Linked DNA regions of Drosophila melanogaster. The protein of the gene in region 3 interacts with the protein of the main gene of each other region in a pairwise test. Each region holds a gene or a part of one and is shown on either strand. Other genes may lie near its edges. The genes, in order: CG15096, CG13733, CG14005 and CG18609.

Region 1 (11,452 bases), on a different chromosome or scaffold from region 3:
GACTATCACGCATTGCTCATTCCCCATTCTGGTCGAGATTTGCACACTTGATTTCGGGCCCCCCTTCCCATCCAACCAGTTTACGATGATGGCCAAAAACCGAGGCCAGAAACCTAATCAAGACCATACACCGAGGAAACTGAAAATCTCACTTCCTTGAAATCTTTTAATAATAATGCCACAATGATACATTTCTTTTTTTTTACTTAATGTTGCAGCTAACGCATTTTATTAGCCAGAGAATTATCTACTATATATTATAATATTAATTATTTTAATCGTACAATATATTACCCTTTTTTTGCAGTGTTCAACATTACTTGGTCGGTAACGTTGCGCGGTTTTATTGCGACTTGATAAGATCTCTTCAGATTTCATAAAAATAAACTCCTTTAAATGGGCATTTAATGGATTCCCTTATCGTGAGATTGCTAAAGAGATCAAGATTCCTGCACATGTGCTTGGCGAATGAAAATTGCTGAAGCGCCCAGAACTCGTAACTTACCCAGCACGAGATCCGATTCGAAATGATAGTTTTACTGGGAATCAAATTTAAATTGTGTTGACTCAAATACTCGCTCACTCCCGTCACATAGCTAAAAATACATGTGTAAATATATATATAAAAGTAAATATATACTGAAGTCGTCTCATACGTAACACTGCCATTGTTCATATCGCGTGCTTGGAAAAAAGGCATTTATTCAAATTCCGCTTATCAACAAGTTCGCCCCGCCAGTGGAATTTGCCCCCCATCCCGCAACCCAAGCCGCCTTGTCCCCCACTTTTCATTCGCCCGCCGAGTTCGAAGCTATAAAATGTGCACGGCACTCAAATGTGAGAGATACGCTCGAAATAGGGATTAAGTGATTGCAAAATTGATTTGCCAGCTCGTCTTTGTTTTGTGATCCAACTTTATCTGCTGGCGGAGTCTAGAGTATAAAGTATTTAACTCAAATCTGCGTTTTCAAGTCTGCAATCTTTGCTGCGTCAGCAAAGCGTTGGAATGTACAGGTCGTTCTCAGCACGTGATTTTTTTTTATTGAAAGCAAATTTTATTCCATAACCAAAACATCAGATTTACGTACCTAATGATAAAGACGTTGAGGTTGATCACCTGGTAACTTCTGTTTACATGAGCTAATTCTACATGTATTCTACATGTATATGCAGCTTACACTGTACAAGATTTCTCCACAACGATCTCTACTTTTAAAGCATACTTTTTGGGGCGTTTTGTAAACCAAATCCAAAGTTTCATTGTTTGCTCCTTCATTCAGAAAATCGTCAAGCAATTACTAGTATAAGTAGACGAAAATGTTAAAGTAAGCAGATTTTCATAATTTAGAATATTTTTTCAATTCAAAAGTTTGCTATTTAGTTGGGGCCTGCTATTAGTATAGGTAACTATTGATTTTGCACAAAGAAATCCTCAGAATTAGGAACTAAACATTTTTACTTGAGCTGATCATAAGACCGTTTCCAAAAACAATAAAATATCATAGTTAAAAAACTTCAGAGAATGCAAAACGAAAGTGTTGGAAACATTTCTAAGATTATGATTGATCTTGAGCACTTTACTCAAAATAGATGAACGAATAATTTTAATTTACCTGACCTTCAAAATCGAGCAGTTCCCACCCACATTAAAGACCCACCACATGTGGGAATCAAACATCTCTGCGGTTTTCTTTTCACATGTTGCTCATGCTCTTTTTATTGTTTTTTTTTTTTTTGTAATTTTTGTTTTCTTATTTTTTGCATGGGTATTCTTATCACATAGTATTAACAAACTAAAACTTAAGACGAGTGGAATGCAAATACGAAATAGTCACAGTTAACAAATACAATTTACAAATATACACGGCGAATGCGAGAATGCATTGCACCTGGCTGCAAATAGGATTGATAGTTTTGGATTTGAAGGAGAGCGGAACTAGCTGACTAGTAGTTTCGGTAACCATTTAAATAAACCCAAGCTCAAAGCTTCATCTAGTGCTGCGACTCCACCTGGGGCGTGGAGTTGCGACGAGGCTTCGCCGGAGGATCGTTCCAGGGCTGGACATTCGCCTTGCCGAAGATCACGTACAGAGTATTGCCCACCAGGTAGAATCCGGCTGCAATGAAGAACACAATGCGCCACTGCTCGGGATCGTGCTGGAAAAAGGTAGCAGGAGATTGGGGGTTTAGTCAAGGCATTCAATAAAATAATTATCCTGACAAGGATATCAGGCAAGGATATAATGATTACAAATCGATTGTGAACTCACCTCATTTGTGACAATGAATCCGACGATCAGCGGAGCAATGATGCTCATAATGTTGGCCACGCCGTTGGTGATGCCCATGAGGATGCCAGCGAAGTTGGGCGACAGATCGATGTGGTTCGTGTTGAAGCCCAGGTAGGTCGCTCCATTCATGCCCACGGTGAAACAGAGTAGGACCACAGCCAGTTCCGACTGATCTGGGTTCACATAGCCAAGGCCAACCAAGGTGACCATAGGAATCCACAGACCAATGGAGTTGAAGAGCTTCCTGCTCGTAGACCTTGAAATGCAGTTGCGGTTGTTCAACTGTGCGGATATCGACGAGAATACAAAGGACATGGCGAACATGCAGACGTAGGGCAGCGAGGAGAGAAGAGCATTCGACTTGATGTCCTTGCCCAGGATGTTCTTCATGTAGCTGGGGATCTCGGTGAGCAGGGTCCAGAAACCCCAGTTGTGCACCGAGTGTGAGACGATCAGGACGAGGAAAGCGGGTGAAGTGAAGAAGCTCAGCCAGGGCGTGGGCAACTGCTCCTTCGGCTGTTCCTGGCCACCGCTCACCTCGTCGGCCTGCGACATCTCGATCAGCTTCTTCTCCTCCGCCGAAATGGACTTGCACTCTTGTGGCGATCCTGCGCCGAAGAAGAAGTACACCACCGACCACACGCATCCGATTCCTCCAGAGATATAGAAGATGCTGGGCCAGCCGATTGGCGAGGCTGCAATCACTCCACTGGTGGCCAGCATGAGAATCGTTCCGAACTGGTTACCCGAGTAGGCACAGGTTCCCAACGTGGCACGCTCCTTGGGCGGTGCCCATTGGGAGAGGATCGTGTGGGTTGAGGGAAAGACCACGCCCTGGCACAGACCTTCCACCACTCGTAGGGCGCAGACCAGCTGCCAGCCTCCGATCTTTGCGCAAATGGGTGTCAGGATGTTCAGGATCGAGCAGATGGCCAGTCCCGACAGGATCATCACTTTGCCGCCATATTTGCGAGCCAATTGACCAGCTGGCACCTGGGTGATCACATAGCCCCAGAAGAAGCTGCTCAGCAGCAGGGATTTCGTCTTCTCCGACCAATTATACTCCTGGAAAGCAATAGTAATTTAGTATTCTGCTAACTTCATTACTGACTTCGCCATATATGTACTTACGGGAAAATCGGGATTGACGGAGGCGGCATCGGTCATGGCCACCACAGCCACGGAGAGGTTGACTCGGCAGCCATAGGCCACCGTAAGGGCAAAGAATAGCAGTAAGACCTGGAAGTGACGGACACCCAAGCCGGAGTCTGAAAGGAATCAGAACGCAATCGATTAGGTAAGTTTCGGTAATCTGACACCTATATTGATCTTCAGCCCAGTCAATGGGCAATCACCCATCGATTAGCATTCCTAATCAGTCGCATTATCAGCCGCATTATCAGAGGCACATGTACCTAAATGTTATGACTGTGGGGCTGTCTCTGTAGGTCACCTGTAGGTCGCTTGTGGCCAAGACACGGTCATTCTAAGGCCCACAGATCCGAGATCGGGCCCCCAACTGAATGGATTTATAACTGAGAGACTACATGCTATAGTAGTTATTTCTACCATTTCAGGCGTAATTTACGCCTAAATTTATCATCCCTTATCAGCCAGACAAGCACTGGATATACAATTATTTGCCTTTCTATTTGCATTTTGGGGGGGGGGGCGGCTTCTGTTTCTGGTTTCTGGATTACGAAAAAAATTCCATTCATAGATATGGCGCCCAATTGTCGGCCACACTTCAGCGGCTATGTCTGCGCCTCCGAACCACCTAACCACCACCCACTTTCCAACCCTTTGGCCCCAAGTTACTGAGATATAAAACTATATCTCTATGTATTGTAGTTGTGGGCTAATGTTCGGTGTTTGTTTAATCTCGAGTTTGCTGACAGAGATTAACTAGCTGTGAGTGGGCCATAAAAAAGCAGTTACAACCGCTTTACACCGAGCTATTTAAAAATCCCGAATTAATCCCCATTTTCGCTTCTATGCATTCTAACTGAATTTGGGGGCTCGTCTTTTATGGATATTCTGTTATCATCGCTGATAAGAGTTCAACGCAATTTTTTGCCTGTTTAGAGCTGTTTATAGTAAATATATATTTTTCGAGCAAGGGGAAAGAAGCTGTGGCAATGTTGGAATTATTTTGCAGTCGATTTAAAAAGTTTGAAAATAGTCGTAAAAAATATATTACTTTCAATTATAAATAAATTTAGAAATCGGGTTGTAATGTGAGTTTTCATGCTTTATGAAACAAAAATTGGATGGCAGTTATTTATTTAATTGCATATTGCATACAAAAAGATATGACTTTATGTTTTAAGAATCACCTAAAGGTACTTCTTTCCTTAACTAAGCTTAATGTCTTTTAAGTTCTTTGTAAAACCCCTTAAATCAGGACCCACCTTCATCCTCAAAGCGACGATTCTTCACAGTGGTAACCATACTTGGATTTGGTTTAGTTAGTAACTATGAATATGTAGTGTGTGGAATTTAAGGCAAAGGCACTACCGTTCGGCTTGGAGCCTGCTCACTAACTGATGGCTTCTTGGCGGAGCATCAGCAGGTGCTTTACGCAAATAGTCAGATCATCTAACCAGCATCGCCCAGTAGTCGTGTGGCTATGTGGGTAAGCCTATCTGTATTTGGTTGAGCTACAGCTCGCGGCTACAGCTGTATCTGTATCTGTATCTGTGACGTTGGCTGTCGCTCTGATTTGTTGACAGTGTAAGAGCGCGTGGCAGTTGCACCCCCACCTCCACCACCCCAAAACACAAACCCATTTTCAAACCCTGAAGGGGTTCCACCTAATCTCCAGCTTTTGATGTAACCAATTTAGGCATTATGCTGATCACACGGTCACCGAATGTTACGATCCTATCACAGATCCTAAATTATCTGCGATTTATTGCCTAGCCGCTATTTTCAAATCGTTTTCCGATAGCTTTGAACTTGAAAGCGGTTGGAAATTGGATCGTATTCCACATAGCGAAGCTTTGCATTCAGCGCCAAAAGCTCAAGCGCCAAAAGCCAAAGCTGACCAAAGCTGCAATGTTATTGTTTACTACGGTAGGTAATGGCTATAAAGAACTGGCAGCAAAACATTAAAGCTTTTGCTAACCACAAGTCACGCAATTAGAATCGTAATTACGGAATAGTAAAATAGAATTATGCATTTTAATTGAGTTCCATTTCCCACACTGATGTTCAGTCACTCAATGAATGAAGACCGCTGGACACGCTTCTGGGGTAAACACATCAGAGCCTTAGGGGTCTTATTGCCACTATCATATGGCTGATAAGGATATGGCGAATGTGACAGGTGGAAACTCCGCTCCGAAGACGTTAAGACCAACGACTTTCAAATGTCCAGGCACTTCAGTTTCACATTGACCAGATAGCGAGCGCCACTCGATGACATTCTAGATAGGGTTTCCTTTGATAGCCGGGTGTCGTTGCTGTTCGTGGGATAATGGCCGTCAAGTGGCAAGATGTCACAACTTGCCCCAGACAAGGTCCACTCACTTGGCCACCTTGTGCCGCCGTGCGGATGGATGGTTGATTGGGCGAATGGATGGATGGACGGCTGATAAGCCTGCATTTTAGCCGGGTTTTTTGGTTGGGTACAGACGAACGCACAGCAAAAACTGGCGGAGCGAGTTTTTTCCAAGCGATAGAACCACCCACAATGCAGACGAAAAATAATAAGTAACAAATTTGCATTTGAAATTGAATTGAATTGAAATTGAAATGGATATTCCATAGGTTGGTATTGGAAATGTATGTCTATGTCAAATGGCTGAATTCTAATGAATGCCACACGGTACTAGAAGAAGTGGTATTTGGTTGTAAAACAACTAGCTTAAGCATCGAAAAGTGGAAATAGACTGTAAAACATTATTGTATTTATTTTTTTAAATACTTGTGCATTTGGTCATACATTTTTTCCAGTGCCTTTGTTGGCCTATCAGCTCCATAACCTTCCGTTCTACCCGTGATTTGTGACCCGACTTGCGGTGTCAGCCTCGTCTCGTTATGAGGTTTTTTGCGTTATTTAGCGGGCGCCATGGCGCCTGCCTTGCCAATTTGAATATTTAGTGAAATTATTTAAATATGCAATTACAAGTAATCCAAACTTGGCTGTTCATTTCGAGCGTTCATGTGTAATTTATGCTCTGACGGAAGAGTTCCCCGCATTTTGTCAAGTGCTAATGAATTTGCATGCCGGCCACTTGGCGCCCGATAATTGCACGCAGCTCTAAATAAAGATATTCGATTTATTAGCGTTAAATGTGCATATTTAATTAGCCACGTGCGTTATCCCTAAAGGCTTGGCTCCAAGATATCATCAAATATCCATATTCACTTCCCCCTCGACAGCCGAGTCGTTTAGTCAAAGCAGGAACATAATAGGAAATATGCGAGATTTATGTTTTCGCCATATACGCGGCCGACTCTAATTGTTCAAAGAATCGTATCTCTCAATCTCAATCTGAATCTGAATCTGAATCTAAATCCGTAGCCGATGTTTGCTGTTGTTTAGTAGCAGTATTTGTGCAATAGTTGCTCATTAGTTGCCGGCACTAAACTGGATTCGCCTCAGACAGCCTGTCCCCGCATATTGGAGCATTCTTTGTGATCTATTCTGTTTTGTTTGTTTATCTCAAAATTCCACATACGCCCGGTTGGCTGCCACCCAAACAAAAAGAGCACAAAATGAAGTGATTCGATTCGCTTTGTGTGTGTGTGTTTGTTCTTACTTTTGCCCTGGGTCGCGATTTGCATACAAACTTTGATGATTTATATTTGCAAAGCCACTTCCTGTCTCTTCGATTTATCGGATTAGTTCTGTGGACAGTCCACTTTCATCCCAACTAAACTAATTCAGATTTAATGACTAGCCTCTGTTTTCGACCATAATAATAATTATAATAATAATGAGCTGTTTGTTCTTACTTTTGCCCTGGGTCGCGATTTGCATACAAACTTTGATGATTTATATTTGCAAAGCCACTTCCTGTCTCTTCGATTTATCGGATTAGTTCTGTGGACAGTCCACTTTCATCCCAACTAAACTAATTCAGATTTAATGACTAGCCTCTGTTTTCGACCATAATAATAATTATAATAATAATGAGCTCAGTGACTAACACCCATCGAGCGAAACACATTTTGGCACCATGAAAACACTTGATGCAGTTAGAACGAAAAAGTGAAATAAGGTGAATAACAAAAGCAAATAATTAACCGTCACTGCCACTTAAGATTTAATCACATTTTGTGAAATTAGCAAACTGACCGCACTTCAAAATTAATTGTTCGTCGTAATCGAACAGCACTTCAGGTTTGGAAAACTTTCGGCAAACGATGTTTTATGTTCGAGCCTATCGCTTTGGCTTTTGCAAATCACTGAAAAAAGACTCAAAAGTCAACACTATTAGTTTTATATAACTTTTTATGATGCAACACATCGTTAAATCACTTTCCAACTAAAATTCTCGCTCTGTGGCTTTTTGTGGGTTTTCAAATAAATTAGACTATTGGCCATTATTATTATTTCTGGAAAGTAAAACCGCCTCCCTTGTCGCAACCCACTTGTCAAATTGGTTATTTCCTCCCACCAGCAATAAAATAAGGACCGACCGACCCATTGGTGTTATCTAACCATGGTGCGTTGCTCCACTTACGTTTGCCCACGGCCTCATCCTCTTTGTTAGAGTTTTTGGCTTCCATGTCCATGGTTCCATTGCTGCCACCGCAACACATGAGTTTCATGATGACTACTGGCTTTTAGCTTTTACTCTCTCGAATAAATTACTTTCTAAACGCGTGTTTGGCAGTGTTGTTTTGGTGGGTGGTCCGTTTGTATTGTTCTAACACTTTTTCGCTTGGGCCGTTCTTAATGCGGCGTGGTAATTAAATATTTGCCAGCGATCGAAGCAAATGTCAACATATTCACAACCGATGCAATCGCTTTCGTTTCTTCCCGATTTCGATAGGGTCGTTTCAATAGGATGTTGTTAACTATTCAGTTCAGTTTCAGTTAGAGTACTTGAGTACCGCTCTCGACGACGCTGCGCTTTCACACCGACTGAACGCTGAGTCGGCGCGGCGACTCCATTTATACGCTGCTAACGATCGATCGCCACTCAAACACGCTCCGTGCTCGCACGCTCCAAAATACGTCACCGGAGATTTCAGCCAACTAGCCAACGGGCCAGCTAGTCAGCAGGCACTCCATGAAAAGCACTCTCCACTGCAAAATCCGGCGGACAGAGAAATTCCCCAGAACCAGACCACTTGCCCGGTTCGTGGACAGCCCGTGGGGTGGGCGTTGTGGCAGAGATATCCGTAAAATCGAATCTTATCGAAGTCATCTTTAGATTACCCGACTTGTCAGGGACTCCGTGTACGAAGTGTACATATGTACGCGTAGATGGGAAAGACATCGCGCCCAAGTCAAGTGGCCGGACCTCGCACCCAATCAAAGGAGGCTCATTTGTTGATCTTGACATAATGATATATTCTATGGTATCAATCCCGAGGGCGATGCGAACGGCATGCAATCCACCAGCCGCACCGAAATGGGCCAATGGAAAATTTACAGCCGGCTAACTGGGGGTCTTCAGCTTTGCGAGTGAATGAAACTTTTTTGGTAAACACAGATTGAATTATTGGGCGTCAAGGGAAACCCCGATCAACAAAAAATAAAATACGAAAAATACGAAAATACGAATAAAAAAAAGAGCTCAGAGTGGCGTAGCTTAAAAACTGGTTAAGCGATCACTTGCCGTACTCGTGGATGCCACGGAACTTCGCGCTTAACGATCTATCAAACTATCTGGAAATTCCTGGCCGAGATTAGAGTGGAGTGCAGTGCTCTTGACATTAGGGCACTTTCACTTTCATCCATCCAAAGGGGCACAATTAGAAATGTTCTCGGCTGCCGCCCAGTCAGCAGGTGTCGATTGAAATTCTTAGTTATGCATAGTTCATGCCTGGCTGCTCCAATGGAATTCGTTTGGGATCCCATCTATTGTCGCTATATGGCGATTGTGTTGTTTGTTTTAAAGACAATAACTGGAATTTCTTGCAACTATTATTATTATTACCACCACGTCGCGTACTTTGTACACAGATATCTCATTGTATCTTCGACTTTTTTCTTGAGACGCACATCACATTGCCAAATTTATGGGCCCCGCAAATGAAAGTTCGATCTAATGGTGCGTCAGCAGAGCAAACAAGTGTCTTAGATAGCTTCGCGACAGTTGGGTCGATGTATCTGGCAGATATTTGCTCACATGCCCGTCTCATGTCCCCTGGAAATGAAAACAAACTGATTATCTTTAGTCGCTAAACAGTGGAAGCAGACAAACGCGTGCACCAGAATGGTTGTACTAAACGATCTTAAGTCCGCACGTATAACGTGTCCCATCTAAAAATCGGCACCAGGCGGGGGGTTGGGACTACGGATCTCCTCCTAATACACTTGTCATGATGCCGCTGTTTGGGTTTCGATCTCATCAAACGAGTTACGACGAGTCAATGAGAGCGAAGTTATGATGCTCGGAGTCACGAATCGATTGACTAAGTTTCGTTAAGCTTTTTTGGCAGGTTTTGGTAGACTTTGATACCCTACCGACTCTATAGGAAATTCACTGGGGATTCCAAATTTATCAAAAGGCGCTACACCGAATACGGTTATAAGTCGCATCATATATAACACGACAAATCTCCTTTGAAAGCCAATGATTGTGTCAGTAAAACGCTGAAGTAGTATCACATTTCATGCTATCAATGTGACTGTAAAATTTAAAATTTCAATCAATAGAGATTTTGGTATGATTTATATGTTTTAGATTATACCTTTAGTAAAAATTCTATGAGCTTTAAAAAAGCAAATAATAATTAGTAGACTACCATTAAATGGACTGCCTGAAATTTATCCCCATAAAAATCCCCGTAGTGATCGCAGAATTCCCCATAATATCATTGTTTACATCCATTACAAACATAGAGAGCTAATCTAACTTTGGTTTTAGTAAAGCTACTTAACCATTTACCCAATCGGGCTTATGCATTATTGAAATCTTAGCTCGCTGTACCGAATTAATTGAGTTTCGATGGCCTAATGTTTTATAGATTCACCCATATATCGTGCTTGGCACAATAGGTTCGCCACAAAGCGCCAAAAATATATCCGTTAATAGATCCATCGGTTGCAAAAATAGCTACCTGTCGTATGCAAATCGATTATTGGTTTATGTAAATTGGAAAGTTCTGCCGCACAGCAGCTCTTCCGTTGCCGAATGATGCAGCATTTTCCGATCCCAAACCGAATTTCCATCAACCCCCCCCCCAGCGAAGTGATCACGCTATGCTCCACTGGCAAATCCGTATGATATCTGTGTTTTTGTTTCACCTTTCCGCTTTTCACGTGTCAGGTGGCAGAAGGGGCGGAGTATTGGTTGAAAATAATTGCCAGTCAATGCAATTACACATCCTCCGTCGGATTTTATCGGGCGGGTGTTGTTCGACCAATTACAATCCGTTACACATTTTTATTTGCAGCCCAGCGAAATGAGCAGTTGTTCTAATGGATTACAGATTCGTACTATACTATATAGACTTTCAGTCTGCATCTGATTGCACAAGTTTGCCGCCGGACTGGTGATGAATGATGCCCGGGTTCTTAATATGCAAAACGTGCTGTTTGGCTTGAACTTGGCCAACATGTCGACTTTAGTTCCTCAATACGAAACTAAAGGCTTACACCCCCTCAAATTCAAGTTCAAGTGCCTGTCGTTCAATGGAAAACGAACGAACTGCCGCCAAATTGGCAAGCTTTGTTGGCCCCGTCAGTGAGCACATAATCACATAACTAAGCTAAGTACGACCTATTCGATGTTGGCCATACTAAAGTCGACCGATCGCAATTGGCCGTTCGAGCGGCCCGTTGCGCATGTTAATTGCGGGCCAATAGCCGATTTTGGCTCAGATGACATTGACTAGGGTACTTCCACCCATTTCCATTGTAGCCCACTCTAGAACTTGGGTATTCCGATGGTGAGTTTCTGCGGTCTTTCAACCGAACTCATCAGGAATTAAGTGCACACGAAGAAATTATGACGTATTCCGCATATTTGATTAAT
Region 2 (6,911 bases), on a different chromosome or scaffold from region 3:
ATAGTTGTATAAAATTTATTTATATGTTTAAGGTTCCACATAATTTTTCGTACTACAAAAAACCCAATTAAGTTCTTGTTTTGTTTGGTATAGTAGACATACAATGGCTAAATTAAAATTAAAAATTAAAATTAATTAAAATCAACATTTTCAAAGGCCTTGTTATCTGAAGTACCACAATTACATTGTACCCTTTTATAGCCTTTTAACTATTGTCATTAACTATATCAGTGATAACAATTTTATGTATTTGTATTAATCTCTCATTTCAACTACTATCTATCGTTACTAACAGTTTTCTGCCAAAACGATTTTAACTTTTAATTTGATTTGACTTTAATTATTAGGCAAAGTATCATTGGAATCTCTTGGATGAACATCATTATGGTATTTAAAGCTCTTGATTTATCAGATTTCATTTCTTTGTATTAGAAACGTAATCAATGTGAGTTATTTTTATCATTTTTATTTATTAAAAATTTTAAAATTATTATTATTAAAATATATGTATATATTTGATCCGCAGATGTTTTCGCTCATCTCTGGCGAAAAATTACTCTTCCTCAATCTTTTGGCTGCCGAAAAAGTAGCCAGACGAATGTCCACATGTGCCGGGTATGTTGTATATAGTATCTGATGTCTGGACTTTTATTGTATGGCTGACCTTGAATTTATGGAAATTGCATAAGTGGGAAGAAGTTTGTCATATTAAGAAATATACTGGAAGCATAGAAAGCCGAAGGCAGTGATGGTGACATAAACGACCAGACCTTGGCATTGTGTTGAAGGACTGTGAATCGAATTATTCGAGGAAGTTGCTTGAATTATGGCTCAAGGGGGTACTTTGAATTTATGAGTATTCAGGATATTAAGAATGTCTTTTTTTTCGCCGGCCAGCACCATCCATCCATCTTCCACACCCCGAAAACCAAACGAAATCCGCTTCCTGCTGCCAAATAATTTACAACTTGCGAATGCGATGCACAGGCTATGGGAAGAAAACAAATAATGATCAGTCGCACATAATGCATGCATATATCCATGGGCATATCGATAACCCTTATCAAGTGTGCGGCATCGCGGCCAAAAATATACAAATTATGCTTACCAAAAGGCAGAGAAAACATAAATCAATGGTTTTGGAATACTCTAACCAAGACAGCAATGTATGAAACTTCAAACATTTTTCCTTATTTCCAAATTTACTTAAGAGATATTAAGATAAGTATACAAGAAGTGCAAATTTGTTGTACCTACTTAAATATTCATATGCATACATGTATGTACATACATATATGGTTATTTGCGTGTGGTTGGTCGCCTCAAGTGATGGGCGTGGCACTTTCAACTCTGGTTCAACCCATACAATCATGAAAACTCTGACCAGATCTTGCCAAAAATGAGCCCACCTTGAACCTGAGTTTATCAAATTGCAGTCATTTTGCTTGTGGTTTTTATAGTACTTTCAAATAACTGAGATTAGTTGGTCAGTATCGTTACAAAAAAAAGGGTAAAAGTGATCGACTTTTTCACTTTCCGCCAATTTGAGGATATTTGCAGAGATTTGAGTGTTGCATGATTCATAATCGAACATTTATATCATAAAAAAGTAAACAGTTCAGTTGCTTATTTATTACGCAGAATTGCCTTAAGAGTTCAATTAACCATTAAATATTTTTAGAGGTGAAACAACGTTTGCCCTCACTTAATCGACAAAATTTGAACTAATTCGAATAAAATTAAGAGTCAGAACGAATTCACGAGTGGCTAAATTATTGTTTAAAATGACCAAGGGCGTGAGGATTTGCAACGATGGATTGCCTGGTTTGCCGAATGAAAGGCCATATTCCCGAAGAACTTTAGATACGCGGCAAAAGACTCAGAAGATGTCCTCCAGGCCATCTAGGAAACCATTGCAGTCTCTACAAACTGTCGGTCGGAATACGAGTTCCAGCCTGAAGCGCATAGGAAGTCCGATCTCCGAGGAAGAATTTGGTGTCCTGGTGCAGCAGGATTGTAAGGCAGAGCAGCATCACACCGATCGCCAAAACCTGGCGGACATAATCCTTATGCAGGCCCGTCGCATCGAGAAGCAGCAGCGGGAGATGAAAAGAATAAAGGCGCACTATGAGCGCCAGGTGTCCACCATCAAGAACAATGCCATCATGCTGGAGTCGCATCTGCAAAAGGTGCTGGCCAGTGTCGAAAGGGATCGGGCCAAGCGGATTGGCCACCACTGCCAGGACATGCTCGGTGCCGTGGAGAAGCTGCAAAGGAGCGACATCCAAGTGAAGCCGCAATCTTCGGCCAACCAATTGCTGATCCAGTATCTTCACTCCAAGAAAATTTCGCATTCGACCAAGAAGTCCAATGAAAACACAAGTAGGTACAGGAATATGTTGTGAATCGTATTCTTGTGTGTACATTGTGGTTTCACTGGGTTTTGTGGTCAGCTTAAATTAGCATATATGTGTATTAATAGAAGTACAAGTTATTATAAAATAAAATAATGGCAACAATGAATTTATTTTATTTTACTAAGTTAATTCTCAACAAGGACGGAGTTGGGCACAATCATTATCTGTTCTATTCCTCGTCCTCCTCCGAGGCAGTTACATCCACGATCGCGTTAGACATGCTCTGTTGTATCTTTTGCTGGACATTGGCGTCCTGGACCAGGTGATCTGGCTGGATGTAGCACAAGTTGGCGCAGCCGAGCACCGGGCATCGGATGCCAATGCGGTCCATTATGATCGGCATCACCGAGTCGCGGTCGTAGATGTGACCGCACATTTTGTTGCGCATGGGGTTCTTTATCAGGGCCTTGGACCAGGGATCGTAGAACGAGAAGACCTCGCTGCCGGAGTCTTCCATAATAAGGTCCTCATCATAGGCGGTGCCATTCGCTTGATCATTGACTTCCGCACCCGCCTGACCAGCTGCTGATTCAACTGCTTTTACGAAGTTCTTGAACTCGTGTAGATTCTTGACATTGATGCGCTTCTGCTCCACCGCTTTGGAGCGTTCCTTCCAGACTTCCTCGAACTCCTCGATGGTGGCGCTAGAGTTTTTGACCTGATTCATAGCCTTGTTGAGCGATTGGTGCTTTATCTTCATATGGACTACATTCACGGCGTGCTCCACGCTCTGCTCAACGCTCTGCTCGAGCAACTTCTTGATCTTCCCGCCATCGCTGAAATCGGACACGAAATCTGACATTTCCTTGAAGAACTTTTTGTTTTCCACTAAAGTGGAAAGTGCGGAATCAGCAAGGTAATTGAATTCCATTTTATCCAGAATATTTAAGCCAAATGTTCAAGACTGATGGTTAGTTAGGCTAGCCTATTAATTAGTGGTCTTTGAATGGACTTATATTTATAAATAACGTTGATATTTACCTGAAATTAGGTTTTTAAGCAAATGCCACGTGGAATGTAATCGCTTAAAAACTGGAATCATCGAGAATTTATCGTAATTTACGATATCGATCTTAAATCGAAAGCACAGATTTTTCGGTTTTCGTTTCGTTCGAATTTTTCGATTTGTAAAACGGGCACTTTTATCTGGTCGAAATAAAAAGTAAATGCCTTTTTTTTATATCAAATCAGATCTTATTTACAGGGGAACAAATATCGAAGGTTGCCATTGAATTGCGTAATCAAAAAAAATTTCAATTACCGGAGCATGCTTGCATAACAACGTTTTATTTAAGTTTTTAAATGTCAGATCTCGGATTCCCCACTGAATGCCTTCAAAATCCCAATAGACACCCCAATCTTGAAGCAATTTTCCAATAGACAAGCCGTGTGTTTTGGACTACCAAAATTTCATTCGTCCAGCGCGATGCCATACCACGATCGAGCCAAAGCCCGATTGGAGAACGAGGTGGTTCTCCTGCGGAGCGAGGTGTCCTCGCTGCGCTCCAAGCACAACCAACATCGTAAGTATCGGCAGGAGCAGGTGGTTCTGCAGGCGCGTATGGAACAGGAGATCCAGCTTCTACAGAGCGAACTAGCCGCAGCTCAATCGAATCGGAATGAGCGGGAGTGCGGTGGAGCCGAGCAGTGTTCAGTGTTGAGCCAGCAGCTGGAGAAACTTGACGAGCACGTGGCTAAGCAGGAGAAGTACATTGCCTTCCTGGAGGAGCAGATCAATCTCACACGTAACAAGTACCAGCAACGTATGACCGAAGTCCGGCAGAATGCCGAACTGGTGGAAAAGGAGATGAAGCGGGTGCGCCGCGAGATGAAGACCATTGCCGAGCAGGCTGGGGAAGTGGACAGCCTCAAGAACCAAGTCGGTTTCCTCACCGCCAAGCTGGAGCGCCGGAACGCCATCATCTCCAGGTACGAAGCCCAGCAGGAGGAAATGATAAGTATCATGGCAAGTCTCCAGAAGAAGAAAGTTAAAAAAACGCGCCATCAGAAGATTCACAACAACCATGACGATAAAGCTGATGTCAGATCGATCCCTTCCGAACAGCTACCAATGCCCAAGCCGAGTGATCAAATAAAGCATCGCAAGAAACGGAAATTTGGCGAAGGCGATAAGGAAGATTCCAGCTCGGCGGGCTCTGATAAGCCACCAAGTTTTGAGGCGAATCCCAGGTCTTCAAAAATTCGATCCCATAACTTGGACTGCCTCTCCTCTGCGCTGAAAAATAAGTTAAGTAACCAGCAACAGTCAACTGTCGAGGGATGATCTGATTTCGTACCCATTATCTGATGGATATTCAAATTTATGGTTTTTAGATAAGCTTTTTACAAAATTTCTTCTGTAACCGAATATCTCTGTAAAAATTGTTATGTACATACATATATAGATCTCTTATGAACAGTAAATGATTAAACTAACCAAACGGAACTTCAGTCAGCACTTCGTTTTCGACGGGCGTCGGAGTTCCTGGAACTCCCGATTTACAAGTTCATTGACAAGCTGCTGGATTATCCATTCAGCAGTATGGAATCGGGTTAATGATCCGGCTTAATGGATGGCTTTATTTTGATTTATTTTGTGTGGTAAGCAATAGCTTAACTGCATTTGTTGGGAAAGTTTGAATGATCCGATGATGTAATTAATACATATGAATATGTATTAATCAATCAATTATTATTGTTTAATGCGTAAGTTGTGCTTGTAATAATGGTCATTTATTCACGGAAATTTCTAAGAAATGCATATGTTCTCTGATTATTATAAACTAATAATAAACTACTAAAGATGTAACTTTTTTGTTTATATTAGTAAGCTGTGAAGTTAGGTAGATTTTCAGGCTATATGAAGGATTAGACAGTTGCAGGACTATCAGTTGATGTTTAAGAATATTTATGGGATCCTTCATGTTCGTATAAGCAACACTAATCAGAAGAATAGGTAGACTTGTCTCAGTGGCTTATCCGAGGGCTTAAAGGTAGTGCTGCTATTTCTAGCCCTGCAATCAAGTCACGTTCGCTGGGTGTTCTAATGCAATATTTTAGCATAAGAGCACGTACCGCAGTATTGCATAAATTCTGAAAGTGCCGGGCAATGAGTCAGTACGGGATTGCAGAATGGAGCCAGCTGAAGTCGGGCGTCTATTGAATTCTAATGCTGCACCAGGAAGTGCGTGCAGACATTGGGCAATCAATCGCCGGTCAATTGGAATCGTTTGTGGATAGCAATTGAGTGTGATTGGATATGGCTTCTACTCCGGCAATTGGGGCAAAAGTTCAACAGTTTTTGGATGAGAATGCCTGTTCCAAGTAGGACTTACTTCGAGTATTCGAATAACCTATCTTATCGCAAGACAGCTTGCCAAGAATCACAGTCGCCTGATGATGAAATTAACAAATTCTGGGCTCTATTTTTTTCTTCTTTTTTTTTGCACGATCCGTGGAAGTCTCGGGGGCAGTCAAACCAGTTCACCCGGCCTTCGAAAACAATTATATTTTTGGGGTTGGGCGTGTTGTTGTGCAAACACCTACGAAATAACACGATGACCCTGAGACCGAAAAAAGCACGAGTACGTTCTAGCACCCAAAATATTACACATATAATGTACGTGACGTCACTGCCTCGAGGAGTGCTCCAAAAACCATAGAACTGAAACAAGATGCAAGGTGGCTTGTGGTAGTTATTATTAATCCTTAGCGTACATTACATTATGAGATATATTAAACACTAAACTGGATCCATCTACGTGACAGAAAAGCTGCGAAAATTGTTTTTCAGCAGCATGACCACGAAGAAAATGCCCACGGCAATCGACAAAAGCTGCACGTTGACCACCTTTGAGTCCACCAGGGCCTGTAGCATGTTGTGGATACTTTCGCTGCGCACTTCGTTACCGCAGCAGTCCATTAATGCACTAATATCGGATCAATAACCAATTAGAACGCCAATATTTTGCTTGCAAACAGCTGTGCGGTGGCTAGAGGTGGGGCTATTTACTTTTCTCACTCATCGATTGTTTCGGGTGACTTTCGATGATTGATTCTCTGCAACTCTAGCGGGTGACTATCAATGCTAAGACCGTTACCGAATATTAAAAACAAGTAAAATTTTTATTTTATTATTAAAACGTAATATATTGCCTCCATGTCGTGTTTTTTCTTTGAAATTCTCATCATATGAATTTTTTGTTATTTTATTTTGAGACATTGCAGGGCGAGATAGCTTGGACTCAAACCAAGACTGGGGAACAGCTGATGCAGCTGCTCATCCAGAAAAACAAATTCTCTCTAGAATTGTTTAGCAAACAGAGCAATAAAACTGATAAAATAGAACATAAAATTATCCCATGTGTAACGTATGAGTACAAAGCCTTTGGTGTTTAGCCTTCCAGCAACCGAAACACACAACTCTCTTGAACTGTGGGTTTAGTTTTATTAATTAGTTTAACATAACTATCTGCTAGTTGGGACGCTTATTCG
Region 3 (7,349 bases):
CTTTCAACTTCAAGAAGAAGATTGAGATGGGATAAGTATCTAGCATTCCTATTTCAATTTTTATTTGATGAAGATCGTTTGTTTTTTGTAATTGTATGCACTTTTAAAGATCCTGCCGATTTTATAAACATTGACATAAACAATCCATCCACAAGGGCAAAGACCCTAGAATATTCTATTCTAGTGTCTTTGACAAGGGTGTATGCTAGTCTCCTTTAATAAAAATGTTGCATACTTTTCAGCGCTGTTTAATCTTAAAATGTTATTTTACATTTGGTGCTCAGTGCCTCGATTTTAAGTTATTTTTCTATTAAATAATTATAAAATTCTTTGCTCCAAATAATATTATTATATAACTTTGCAGAAATCGATTGTGAAAATATAACCCTTCGGTTTCAAAACTCGAAAATCGATAAAAAAAAAGCAATAATCCAGCGATTTTCGTTATTTAAATATATTTATTATTTAAGTTTACTTTTTAATCTTACAAACAGTTTTGCATGTTTTTTGTTAAGTTTCGTGGCACCGATCAGCCTGCGAAGCGGCATGTTGCAGCAATCCAGTATCTGAAAACCAGTGTTCGTGCACTGCGGTCCAAAATTGAGGTTATGAAAAGTCGGAAAAGGAGTTCACTGCGGCCGCTGGGCCGTAGGATGCTGATGCTGCTTCTGCAGCTGAAGGACGTGGCTCAGAATCTGCGCCTGCTGCTCAAGACACTTGGGGAAGAAGGTCTGCATGAGGTCGACCTTGCGTTCCTCCAGCTCCAGTCGCTGCCGACATATCTTGGTTTGTTCGTAGAGCAGCTGGTTCTTTCGCCGAACTTCCTCCATGTAGAGCGCCTCCAGCGAGTCTGCGTGTGGGGGATTCACAGATCCGAATGGACGACCGCGCTTCCGTGGCACAGGGACGGGGGAGGCGCCAACGACGGCGTTGTTGGTGGTCGAAACTGGAGCTGCAGCCGGAACCGATGCCGATACCTGTGCGGGCACCGGCGCTGGCATGCCTCCGTTTGCGTTTGTGGCCACGCTGATGGTGTTATTGCTGCTATTGATATAGGCTACCGCCGTTATGGGCTGATGGTTGACGGTCGATGTGGCCGCAGTGCTAATAACGCTGTTGTTATTGAATTGAGCCGGCTGCTGCTGAAATTGCGACTCATAGTTTGTTTGGAACTGCTGCTGTTGTTGCTGCTGCTGCTGCAGTTGTTGCTGCTGCTGTGGCGTCTGCAGCTCGAGCAGCTGAGCCGGCTCGGCTGGGGAATACTGTTGCAACTGCTCCTGAAAGGGAATGGAGCGGTACTCATCGTCCTCGTACTCCTGCTTGACCACCTCGTCATACTGGTCCGTAAACAGCTCCGTGTTGAAGCTAACTCCGCCGCTGGTGTTGTTGTTGTGGCTGCTGCCGTGATTGCTATTGCTGCTGCTATTGTAATAGGTGGCAGTGCTTGGCTCACTGGCCAGTCCCAAGCCTTGCTGCTGCTGCTGCTGAACGGATTGCTGCTGTGGCTGCTGCTGCAACTGCTCTGCGGACGCATCATCCCGGGGCGGTGTCATGTCGCGGTTGTTGAGCAGCGCCTCTGGCGGCAGCGGATCGGCGTTCTTGGGCCTGTGCAGGTTCTTCAGGATGCGATTGATAATGTCGTACTTCTTCCAGCGCGTAGCATAGCTCGAAGGATCCGCCTGCAGCTGTTTTTTGACTTGCCTTAAAAGGGAAACCAGTCAGTTAATCCGGTATAGCAAAGTGTCTAAACGGTTACCTACCTGAACTTGGCCCTGGTCTGGTTGACCTTCATCTGGATCTCCTCGGGCTTCACGTCCACGGCGAACCGGTCGCGCAGTTCCTCGGCCCACCGGCCAAAGAAGATGGTGTTCTTGCCGGTGCGCGTCAGGCGCCAGTTGTCGCGTCCCCAGATCTCGTACAGGCGCTCCTCCTCGCTGGGCGTCCAGTAGCGACGCGCCTTCTCCTTGCCCCTGCCATCGAGCAGCTCCTGACCACCGCACATGCCTAAGTCCTGCTCGGCACCGCTGCCGCTTCCGCCCGCGTTCAACGCCAGCTTCTCGTAGTCCATCGACTGCTCTGCACCGGCTCCTGATCTGCTCCCGCAGATGTATCCCTGTAACGTTGCCTTTGGATATGCGATCTCCACTCTAGTTACACAATGCGACGCTGTGGTAGAATGGTTGAAGCCAAGTGCAGTTTTTCCGCACAAAAAATCAACAACAGCTCTGATACACAGAAGAGTGTGACCTTGCGGCGCGAGAACGCCGAAAATGCCTAGATTCCTGAGCGAATTTCCTGAAATAAGTAATATAATAAATTTCATTTAGTACCATATCAGTATCATGTATATACTACAGCTGGGAGAATGGCTTTGGGGCTAGTCCAATATTAAGAAATAAAATTATTAAGATATTAGATATATCTTTTCCAGATTTCAATAGCTCTATAAGAAAATTTAAATCATTGATGGTATTTTTTGGCGCCTGCCGCGCTCAAGCGTTATTGGTATTTCCACGCCTGGTCCTTGGTCACGTACGAAAATGTTTGGATTATAACGATTCCACAAAATTGAAATTAGACCGGAATATGAGCGGCCAGAAGCACCTGCGATTGCGCTACTACACGTCGCTGGAGGAGGCCATGCTACTGCGGCTGTGGCGCGAGCACCTGCATGCCATACCCTCCTACACGGACAACCTGCCCATTTTCCGGGAAATCGCGCACGGCCTGCAGCAGAACGGAGTTCGGCTCAATAAGCAGGAGGCTCGCCGGCGCATCAACAGCTACCGCAACAAGTATTTGTGAGGCGCAGCAGCGGCTCGGGTCAGTTCACAGTGCTAATATCTCCTTCCACTTCTCTGCAGGAACGATCGCAATCGCGTGGGGGGCAATGCGAACTTCGCGAAGGATTGGCGTCTCTACGCGCTGATCGATTGCCTCTTCTGTCCTGCCTGGCCGTCGTCCGCCCTCTTCCATTTCCGCAATGTGCTGGAGACGATCCGTGCGACAGCACGTGTGGATTTGCCCGCCCTGCCGCCACTGCTATACACTTCGCCCGCCCAGCTAAAATTTGAGCGCGACTCAGAGGGATGCACCTTCCTCGATGCCCAGCCCCTAGTTCCCGCAGTAGTGAAGACAGAGCCTCTGCCAGACGAACACCACCAGCTGGTGAATATTGAATACAAGCCCACAGTGACGCAGCTGGAAAACGCGGCTAGCCACTACCTGGAGAGAGCTACTGCCGAAAGTGTCATTCAGCGGTCGCCTCTCACGCCTGCCAACCACATCCTGCCCGAGGCAGAGGATGCGCCATATGGAGGCCACACCAACGGTGGCCAGACGGACGCCGAACGTTCGGCGAGCAAAAGGAGACGAGGGCGACGTAGTATACTGCCGCACTCGGGCAAGATCACAATGGCAATAGTGGAGGCGCTGCGCAAGGAGAACAGTTTGCTCGAGCAGCAGAACGACGCCTGTCTGCAGTCGCTCGTGCGCAAGGAGAAGCAGTTCCTGGACATGAAACATAACTTTCTGGCGTATATGGAGCGGCAGGAGGCAGTGCTGGCGTTAATAAAGCAAACGACCATCAAGCTGGAACCATGATCCCGACTACTAGCACCACGTGGTAAGGACATTGTATGACAGCTTTAGCTTTAAGTTGGGAATAGAGTCGCGGCGCTCGACCCTGTGTATGTTTTTCAATTCGTTCCTTTCTCAGACACAGATGTCTAATTCACTCGACGTACAAAGCAGCAGCATAGCGAACCGAAGATATTATAATTTCTCAAACGTTCTTTTTCTAGCGTCATAAGTGTAATGTGTATGAACAATCGTCTGTGCAAAAGATCAATCTATACGGTCTTTAGTCTTAAATTAAAAACATTGTCTTGAGGCGAACTTGTATGGTAGCTACATTTTTAAAAAAAAAACTAAAACTAAACAACTGGCTAAAAAATAAATTAGATGAAAGACTATTATACTATATATATATACTATACTATATAGACTATACTATTATTTCTATTGTTACAGAATATCTTGTTGATATAATAGTAACGAAATCAAACATAAATTCAAATGAAATCAGTGTGAATAGCCTATTAAGTTTTGCATTTCGATCAACTTAGCGTGTGCAACAACCGCCGGTTATTTGTTCATCAACCCCTGCTGCAGCAGTGTGGCCGTAGCCGGAATGTGAAAATATCCGCAAACACCGCATGCGGACCTCTCTTAGTCGCTCTCTTAGCGCACAATGCGCTCTCTGCCAACCGAAATGCCACAGACTTTTTGTAGGCTTTTCCACTTTTTCGATTTCGAGACTTCGAGCGAAACGGTCGTGTTTTTCGCGTGTGTGCGGGTGGCGGACGCGCGTGCCAATCGGAAAAGGCCTTTAAATCAAATGAGTGGCTCGCCAAAGGAGCGCATCAAGGTGTGTGCGATTGTATCGAGTGTGTGTGCTTGTGCGGTGCGGAGAAAGCCAGCCAGCCGCCAGTCTGGGATAAAAATAAAGATTAAGATTGGGATAAAACAAACGAACGGCAGCGAAGTGCACAAATTGCCGTGGAATCGGGGCTAAAGAAGGAAAAACAAGTGTGCAGCACACACGGATTGAAATGTTTGCCAATGTGTGCGAGCGTCACCTAAATAAACAACAAAAAATTCGATTTGCAGCAAAGAGAGCGAGCGAGTGAGAGAGCGCGAGAGTGGGAGGCTGTTATTGTTGTTGCTGCTGTTGCCGCCGCTGCATGTGGCATGCCCGAAAATCCCAATCACAATCAGCTGAGCCCTGCCGCGCCTCTCCCTACCTCACCCCCCGCACCCATACGCCTTCTCACACTGTTTGTTGGCCAGTGTAAAAGTTTCTCGTTCTGTTTTGCGTGTCTCCTCCGTTTCTCTTTCTCCAGGGCCACAACACTGGGCTACAAACTATGTGAAAACCCGTTTCGTTACATTTCGCTTTGCCCCGCCTAACCCCCCCCCCCCCCTCCCATCATTAATTCGGTTTTTTTCTCTGCTGTCGCGTCACGCCTCTCACGTCTTTTTTTTACTGTTTTGTTGCAGTTGTTGCTTTTGCCCAGCGCCTCTTTCATTCATAGAAAACGGTCAGCAAAGCAAAGCATAGCGAGGCGACAGCAACAACAAACAGCAGGTAGAGCAGAAATATTAGCGCGATTTCTTTTCGTTTCGCCCAAAAGAGCAGCCAAAAAATCAACAAAATACGAAACACAAAGCCAAATCAAAAGAAATCAAATTTCAAATTCGTGCGGCCACCAGCAAATATCGAAATAAAGAAATTATCTAAATCATCATCAGCAGCAGCACAAAAATCGAAAATCTCCTCGCTGTGTGTGTGATGTAAGTGCGATAATAATATTTAACAATTGTAAAAGTTTATTTTATACATCATGCCTAACTGGCGCTATTGTTCGCCCCTTTTTTTTTCGTCTTCCGCCTTTTTTTTTATGAAATTTGCTACTCATATCAGACCAACTTCGTAACTACATCAAGTACAATTTTTAAGGTTTATAATGTTACCATAATTTGTTTAAAATTTCCCATGATTGTCGTCATTTATGGGGTTTTCCTTGAGCGCTAATCATGCGGTTCTATACCACTTGAATGATAAGATTGATAACATTCTTGGCAATCATTATCGAATCTATGGGAAAATCATAACAAGTTCCATTTTATTCGCAGGCAGAGAACTGAAATTAATCGTTTTGGTTAATTGCCAATTTGATGAGTTCCATTTTCCAATCGCGATTTAATTTTCACATTAACAACACATTTGTTAGCCCATTAAAAATTTGTTTGGCATTTGTTTTCTTTAAAAACAGCTCATTAAATCGCCGGAGTCCACATAAATCTTCTCGTCGTTTGTGGCTAAATATTGTCACTTAGCAAACACTCGAAAATATATAACTTAATTTATGCGCACGACTATTAAAAAAGAACTTGGAGGTGTCGAAAAAAGCTAAATATAGGAGGAAGTGTATTAGGTAATTGTGTATTCCACATTGTTATAAGCACTACTGTCTTTTTATTGTTATCTGACAATTCTATGCAATTTATTAAGTACATGGATCTTAAGTTGTATAAAAATAGACATGAGCTGTACATAAAAAATCAACATTTCGCTGCGAAGTGGTTCGAACGGGCAATTTAACACGATCTACTTAACTTGTTGTGTTGCTGTTTATTAATAAAATATTTGCCAATTATACGACAGTTTGCGCGTTTAGTTCCATGTGTTTCGCCCTATTATTAAATATTTATACTTGATAAACACGTGCTTATTTACACCATTAGTATGATTCGATCATTTTCTGGGTAATCAAACGATAACTGAACTAAACAAATGTTTTTCTCAATAATTGCGAATATTTGTATAGTAAAACAAGCAGAGCAGTTTTCTGCATCACAGAGCTCAGTATCTGGTATCTGATGTCGCATATTGTAGATAAGAAACTATAGTAAGGGACTTGGTAAATTTAAGGCGATACCAACGCATTGCGGTGTTGGGATTACGTAGAACATAGGACCTTGGATGCGATTAGCTCGGAAAGATGTCTGGTTTTTAGATAAATAGCGAGAGAAACAATCTAATACACAAGATTCAAGCGGAAGTTTATAATCGTTGCCAAGAAAATTCCAGAAGGCTGATTTCTGCCTATGCACTTCAAAGCTTTTCGATAAATAAACAGTGTAAAATAGTTTTTCCCAGATTAAAAATGCTTTTTAGGATGAATAAGTTCTGGTGAATTTCTCTTTGCTAGAAATACCCTCTTGTGCATTTTAAGTTTTTTAACATAAATTGAAATTATTATTTCTTTAATTTTTCCTCTGCCCCTTTTGACCTGAAAAATCCATACGTCGCTTGGTGACTTCTGAAATACAAATGACACCCCCAGGGGGTCACCCACCTACAAGTGACGTAACTTCAAAGCTCACATATGCATTTACACAAATTTTGTTTGTCATGGAGACAACTGAATCATCTTGAGCAACAGCATTTATTACACTGGTTGACAAGAAACCCGTTTTTAAACGTGTAACCAAATCTACGCTATATACACTTTTAGTTTCTTTATTTACTTTAACATATATAAATTCCAATATTTAAATATTTTTATATAAATAAGTAATTTAGTTTCTATCAAATTTATATAAGAAAAGGCGTGAGGTTTTGTAGTCCACTTGGGTTAGCAAGTTCGTAAGCCTTTTCCTGGATTCCTTATCGGTATTGAATTGCCGTGTTGTGGTTAACCGCAAATAAGCAGTTTTGTTCATTTGGTTTTGGTTTACGTTTTACACTTTCCAAGACCCAGACCTTAGAAATCAGTCAGTTG
Region 4 (6,962 bases), on a different chromosome or scaffold from region 3:
TCCCAGGCCGAAAAACCCCAGCCATCTTCGATGCGATGCCATCAGGCAGTGTGAAAGTCAAACAAATCCAATCAATGTTACGCAGACACATATACTCGTATTTCTATGGTCGTACGTATGCCTGCATATATGCAAATTAGCTGGGGTTATAAAATGTAATGTATTGGTTGTATCCCTCGGCTCTGGGAAATCAACCATCGATGCTTGTATATATGTATACGTATATGGATGTGGTGGTTACGTTTGAGGGGCCACCATCAATCGCAACGAATTAAAATTTTATTATGCCATATTCCCCAAACGAGCGGAGAAGGTCGGCGTTTGTATCTTTTATGGTTTTCGAATGTAAATGGTTTTTGTCTCCCAGGTCGCCAAATCGCCTGGTAAATGTGGGTTAACAGGTCCTCCGTAGACTTGGCCCAAAGGTGCAACGAGTTGCAGTTGTGGCATTTTTGATTGACGGCACATTTTGCATACGGGAATTTTGTTTAGAAGGCGAGAAGGATCTCACGCAGGACCCTTTTGGTAACCTCAAGCGCCAGTCAATGCCAGAATGCCACCCACAACCCCACACCCACAGGTGAGCTGCCATTCCTTACGAGTCCAGGACAAAACCAAGAGCCATACATTATGCAGGTTGTTTGTTATCGTTCGATAAAGTGTAAATTATGGGAAAGTTGCCAGGCAGCCAGGTCAGTTCCCCTAGGTACGGCAATATATATACATATATTGTATATATATATCCATGTGTTACCTTTTGCCATATAATTTCAGATAACTTTAATGTGTGTCTTTTGTGCGTAGTGTGCTCAGTGGTCTTGAAGCCTGCATTGTTAATCGCACAAATGGCATTTGCATACACGCATTTGACTAATTTATGCTGACCTCTGGAATGCCTTTTAATTGCCCACCCAGCTGTTCGATGTTTTGGTGCTCGGTTTGCTGTTCAGGTTCTGTCAGAGGCCACAGACATGGGAAACTGAGTGGAAACATCTCAAGGACTGTCAATCGCAACTGGAGGGTCTTATGCAGATTTCCGTTTGACTTTGGCCTGCCTTTTGCGCACGCAAAGCCAAGTGTTGACCTCAGTTTCGCTGCTGTCATAGCTATTACCCTTGTATTCCCTCAGATGTTAACAATAGCCGCCTCATCTCGTTCATTTCACAGCCAATTTTGTGCATTTTCCCACACTCCGTCCCCATTTTTTTCATTTCTTCTGTGTGCAGCTGCATCCTTGGCTTTTTTTTCAGCACTCACGTCCCTGCTGCCGCTTTTTTGGCCTTTTGTCCTGCGTGGCTGGAAAGTGTGAAAGCAGCAGGCGAACGGATTTCTGGTCTCGTTTCGCCAGGGACTTTTGTTTTTCAATTGCCATTTGCCATATTTGCGGCAATTGTTTTCGTTTTCTCCAGCAGTAAATACAATTGCAGGCAAGTGAATGTTCCATGTTTCTGTGCACAGAGGAAAAAGACTTTGCAGTTTAAGGAAACAATTTCATTAAAGATTATGTTGCAGTGATCTATAAGAGCTATCTATTTAATCAATATTCAATACCTCTGTGATACATGGGAATTTGATATTAAACTTTAATTCTGTACATAAAGTAACTGAGTCATCTATTGAGTCTAATACTGAAGTTTTCGCTTAAAAATTGAACAACTATTCTCTCTCTGTACTCACAGTGAATTTCCGGCTTAAGTTTGACTAGTGCAACAGAGTTCAGCTACGGTTATAGCGCCTCCGGTTTGTCCTATCAGCTGCCAAGGAGCAGCATAAATGGGATAGAATGGAAGCTTGTTATGTGCAGTCGTTCGTTGTGCCACACACACACACACACACACACACCCAAAATCCCACACACGCTCAAGCCAACGCACTTGTTAGTTGCCTTCCATTTCTTATGCTTATCAAGCGAAGCTTTTCCAACGTGCTAACAAACGAGCAAAAACAGCAGGAAAAGCTGGAAAAGCAAAGAGTAGGGGGCAGCATTTGATTGCCTCGAGCTGTTTTTCCGGCGTGCAGTTTTCACTCTGTCGATATTTAACTGGCAGGGCTTTGCCAAACCTTTCTCAGTTTGATCGATTCTTTCAGTTGTACTGTCAGATATTCCAAACACTTAAGGGATCGGCTGGCTATCTAGCACAATATCATACCTCTGATTTTTGCTGCTTTCTCGCCAGCTGTCTTATAGACAATGCGATGTGAGTAATACGTTGTAAACTTACAATAATTATTCGATTACAACTACTCAATATATATGGATTGAGCTTAAAGCTACGATTTGCAGAGCTCTTGATTGAAATTCCGACCTTTTTTGAGTCGAAATTTCTCTTTAGCATACATTATTGGTGTTCTCTTATTTCCACAAAAAAAAAAACCTTTACTTTCAATAGGAGCTTTTAGAAATGTTTTATAAGCTATTGACAATAAACAAACCTTGAACAAATAAATTAAGAATACGATTACCACCACGATATATTTTGTTATTTTGTTTATGTAATTGTCTACATCGCTATGGAATATTATGAAACTTTAGTACACACGGTTCTTTCCTATAATCATTCAGTACTTTTCCCCCTTAAAATGTGAGTTCAATGTGTAGCGGATTCACACGCTAATTCAGTTCCAAGTCCAATATAACACGCATGTTATGACATCGTGCTTTGTTTTTTAAGCCGATAACAGATCAAAGGGTTCCTTAGTCATTTCAAATATTCATCTTTCATAATATTCTTTTGGGTGTTGGCAATTTTTCCAGTCGCCGGTCGCTTGAGCTTTATGTTATTAGGTTTTCGATACATTTCGACCGCCCATCGGCAATCATTTTCATGGAAATTTGTTGAAACACGCGACTTAACGTGGAATGGAAAATTATTTTACTTTCTGTATACGATTAAGGTTTTTATAAACATCCCATATATAGCTTTGATTATATCACGTTTCACGCTGTTCCGTTGGCACAAAAACACAGCCCCATAATGAAATGCAGAAATAGTTCGGGACAATACCATTTTATTGTTTCGTTCAGTTTAGTTATATCTTCGGTCCGAAGTCACATTTGAGAGAGCAGAAGTCATAGTGATTGCTTAGTTAAATACATGGACTAATTAAATGTGCATTTACGTATATTTAAATGACTTAAGGCTACGATTGCTTTGCGTTGATTTTCGCCTTCGGAGGTCTCAGATAGTTGTCGATATAGAATTTACCAAACAGATAAATGAACACAACGCCTTGCACCATATTTAGATAGAGAAGACCGCGTGGAACGCCACAATTCGGTGAAAAGAATCGCACATAGATGGCATAACTGAGCAGCATGAAGAACTGGCAGAGCTGTGTCAATGTTATATACTTCTTCCACCAGATATTGGCCCTCACTCCGGGATATTCTGAAGACAGAAAGTAGTAGAAATACATGACCGTGTGCACCAAGGAGTTCAGCAGTCCAACGGCATTGACATGGCCTCCAGTTCCATAGTAACGGGTTAGGGCATAACTTCCAAAGGACATGAACACGTGGTGATATATGTGCAGGAAGGTGATCTGCTTATAGCTCTTTCGCAGCACAAAGAACACCGTATCCATAAGATCGAGGACCTTGTTCAGCAGATATGCGGCATGCAATACTCGTTCCAATTGTTTGCGTTCATGGCCCTCGGGAAAGCTTTCTATGCAGTGCAGATTGCAAATGCCCACGATGAAGAGATAATAAAAAACCTGAAAAATAAAGGAACACACTTTTTAATTTCAAAAAGATTGTAACAAGTCATCCAACTTACCATTCCGAAGTAGAGACCATTGTATAGCACCTGAAATAGATTGTAGACCTTCAAGACCGTTTTCAAATCATATGGTTTCCGGTTTCTCATAAAGATCTTGCCCAATTTAAGGACAAACAACAGATATGCTATCAAAATCAGTGTGATAGGCCATGGTGATCCAGCCAGCGGAATTGGGTTAGGATCTGTTGAGTATTTCAAAGAAGTGATATACTTGTAGTAATCAGCACATTGCCGAACTTACCCGCTTGAGGTATGCGCAAGTATCGGAGCATTATTAAATGGTTGATTGTTGTTTGAGGAACCGCTGGCGACTGTTTCAGCAGTCTTGAAACAATCCAGTTTGTTTTAACGAAATGAAGCCAAATCAAATCACATAATGTATTATTCAGCTATTTGAACTGCGATGTCTGTCCTACATTTCGGAATGAGAGACCCAGAATAAAACGCTCAGTCTCAGTACACTCGATTGAGACCGGCTCAATTGCGTAAAGAGAACTGCATTGTATTTATAAATCACTGCTCTTTACTTTTGGCTTTGACATAGGTTTGATAGTAAAAGTTTCCAAACATGGTCATCATGGAAACGGAACCTCCCAGCTGAACGTACTGCAGGACCTTGGGAAAACGGCAACCGGGATTTAGCCACAATGTCAGTACAGATTGGGCGAAGAGGATCATGAACTGTAGGAACTGCAGCTTGGTGATGTACTCTTTCCACCAAAATGTGCTCTTCACGTTTGGATACCAAGCAGATGCGAAATAGTAGGCGTACATCACCACATGTACAAATGAGTTGAGATATCCCATCAGGTTGTATTGTCCTCCGGGTCCGTAGAAATAGTATGTCAATGGCACACCCAAAACCATGAATACATGATGGTATACATGGAGTACGGTGATTTGCTTGTTGCTCTTTCTCAGCACAAAGAATATCGTGTCTATCAGATCGATCACCTTGTTGATAAAGTAAAAGTAGGTCAACAAACGATCGACATCTTTATCTGGATGATCCGAGGACAGCATGGTCATGCAGCGGAAATCGTATAGTTTTTTAATAAAAAGATAGTAAGTGCCCTGCAAGTACAGAGATATGAAATTAATTTTTTTGTTTATAGGTATAGCAATTAGCTAAAAATGCCCACCATTAAAAAAATGCCAGAATTCATTAGAACTTGACAGAAGTTGTAGATCAACATGGCTTTTCGCATATTGTAGGGCTTACGAGATCTCATGAAATCGGGTCCCACTTTGAAAATCAGCAGCAGGTAACCCAAAACTATCACAATCGCCGGTAAAGGTGTGCCAAACATGGGCAAATGGACGGGATCTGTGGATAAGTAAGTAAGTGGATATTTCTGATGCAAAGATCAGGCTGACCTGCCGGCAGCCCTCGGAATAAATCCAATAGTGTGAAGTTCATGGTGTCTCCGTCGAATGCAACTGAGTAGCGCGTTTGCCATTCGCCACTTTATATACCAATGCACCTGCAACAGTGTATGCGGACCCAAAACACAATAACACCTGATTATGTATGCTCCTGCAGACACTATACTATTCTCGTAGTGCAGTGCCCCGACCAAGAGTCGTCAAGATTTGAATTTCTAACGAAGTTTCTAATTCATCCGCACGCATTGCATGGATCCCACTTTGGTGTCAGGTGGTTCGCTTTCCGGGCATTCAAACCTATGTTTAGTACTTGCAAAAATATATAAATTTAAAATTAGATATCAAATGTGTTTTTCAAAGTCTACTTACTAAAACTGTTTTCAATGTATTGCATTTCTGAATATCCTCTTCTAATGAAAGTTGTTTTTTCGGAAAGAATTTTTGCTCTATTGCTAAAATATACATCATAATTTTATAATAAAAAATGATGAAAAGTTAATGTATACGTACTATGGTATCAATAATTTATGGCCCTGACTTGCCTAACCGATTTCTTTGTTTTGCTACTCTTTTCAGTGGTTTAAAGCGTTTTGGCAGACAATAGACGATGGCTATGGGCAACATCAGTAGCAGCAGCCAAATCGGAAGAGGCCATTACGGCTTTAATCCCAGGAAAGGAGCAACAACAGCCACATCAGCAGCAGCAACAAATCTAATTACAGAACAACAATAAGGCCAGGACCTGGTGCCACCGATGATGATGATGATGATGATGTTAGAAAACTTCCGTTTTGTTTGCCCGGGCGGAAATGAGGCTCAATATGTCGCCCAGTCACAGGTTACCTTTCCAATTCTGTGAGCAGTGACCTCGAACGCATAGAGCTAAAGGAATCCCAGCCCCCCTCGATTGCCTGAAATTTAATTAAAGCGCAAAAAACTCGAAACGGACTCCTGCGATAAGGGTCGAAACAAAAGAGCAGTTTCCCCCCAGGAGGAGGACGTGGAGGAGGCGGCGTCGGTGTGTCGGTGGGTTGGCCCATAAATCTAACCGCCCACCAGCCACCCGGCAACCAGGCAATACGGCAATCCGGCAGCAACCCATGTTGCACGTTGCTGCAATCGAGCTGGCCCACGTCCACTGGCCAATTAGCTGCTGCAACAGCCGAGAGCGGCTATCGTTTGGGCTCCATTGAACGCGTACTCTAGCCGAGCGCAGCTGCCTCTCTGATGACTGCCGCCAAAAGACGTGCGAGCAGCAGCAACAGCAGCGGCAGCAGCAACACTAGCGGCAGCAGTAATGGCAACGAGCAGCACTCCCAGCAGCAACATCTGCAGCTGCAGCAGCAGCAACAGCAGCATGCCCAGCCAAACGAGTACCAACAGTTGCTGCAGCATCCCCACCATCACTATCAGCAACACTACAGCGGCAACAACAACACCAGCGGCAACAACAGCAATAGCAGCAACACGCAGCAATACCACCAGAGACAGCAGCAACATCAGGCGACATTGCGCGACTGTTCCGTCAAATTGCCGCTGGATATCCTGTGAGTACGGCCAACAAATCATTTGGGGTTCGAGTTTTGCTATTGCACGTAGCCGATAAGAAGGCCAACAGTCGGAACCGTAAAAAGGTCAAGCCCAACTCTCCATCTCCATTTCCCCAGCGCACCAGTGTCCCAACACCCATGGGAATCTGGTGTGGAGATAGCCGCACGTCTGGATGGTTTAATAAAATTTACATTTTAACAACGCGATTGAAAATTGCATTAACTTTAACGGCACAACATTTGC

Evidence for each region.
Region 1: the proteins of CG14005 (region 3) and CG15096 interact in a two-hybrid assay, tested with the Drosophila melanogaster proteins (one large-scale study listed by BioGRID).
Region 2: the proteins of CG14005 (region 3) and CG13733 interact in a two-hybrid assay, tested with the Drosophila melanogaster proteins (one large-scale study listed by BioGRID).
Region 4: the proteins of CG14005 (region 3) and CG18609 interact in a two-hybrid assay, tested with the Drosophila melanogaster proteins (one large-scale study listed by BioGRID).

Annotation. Positions count from the first base shown.
Region 1 is NT_033778.4:18,806,620-18,818,071, forward strand, and holds CG15096 (uncharacterized protein), read right to left. Parts: upstream 8,401-11,452; 5' UTR 8,073-8,400; coding exon 7,985-8,072; intron 4,842-7,984; exon of another isoform or gene 4,743-4,841; coding exon of another isoform or gene 4,703-4,742; intron 3,560-4,702; coding exon 3,423-3,559; intron 3,357-3,422; coding exon 2,271-3,356; intron 2,158-2,270; coding exon 1,993-2,157; 3' UTR 1,737-1,992; downstream 1-1,736.
Region 2 is NT_037436.4:17,475,739-17,482,649, reverse strand, and holds CG13733 (uncharacterized protein), read left to right. Parts: upstream 1-3,723; 5' UTR 3,724-3,843; coding exon 3,844-4,701; 3' UTR 4,702-4,855; downstream 4,856-6,911. Other genes in the region: CG6333 (uncharacterized protein), read left to right, coding at 1,785-2,405; qjt (quijote), read right to left, coding at 2,587-3,288; CG34250 (uncharacterized protein), read right to left, coding at 6,024-6,081, 6,179-6,339; UQCR-Q (Ubiquinol-cytochrome c reductase ubiquinone-binding protein), read right to left, coding at 6,905-6,911.
Region 3 is NT_033779.5:5,797,124-5,804,472, reverse strand, and holds CG14005 (uncharacterized protein), read left to right. Parts: upstream 1-2,497; 5' UTR 2,498-2,586; coding exon 2,587-2,801; intron 2,802-2,864; coding exon 2,865-3,603; 3' UTR 3,604-3,956; downstream 3,957-7,349. Other genes in the region: CG7239 (uncharacterized protein), read right to left, coding at 630-1,701, 1,761-2,068.
Region 4 is NT_033778.4:18,739,522-18,746,483, forward strand, and holds CG18609 (uncharacterized protein), read right to left. Parts: upstream 4,106-6,962; 5' UTR 4,055-4,105; coding exon 4,024-4,054; intron 3,965-4,023; coding exon 3,780-3,964; intron 3,718-3,779; coding exon 3,142-3,717; 3' UTR 2,996-3,141; downstream 1-2,995. Other genes in the region: CG17821 (uncharacterized protein), read right to left, coding at 4,296-4,856, 4,925-5,109, 5,160-5,202; Hs3st-A (heparan sulfate 3-O sulfotransferase-A), read left to right, coding at 6,396-6,715.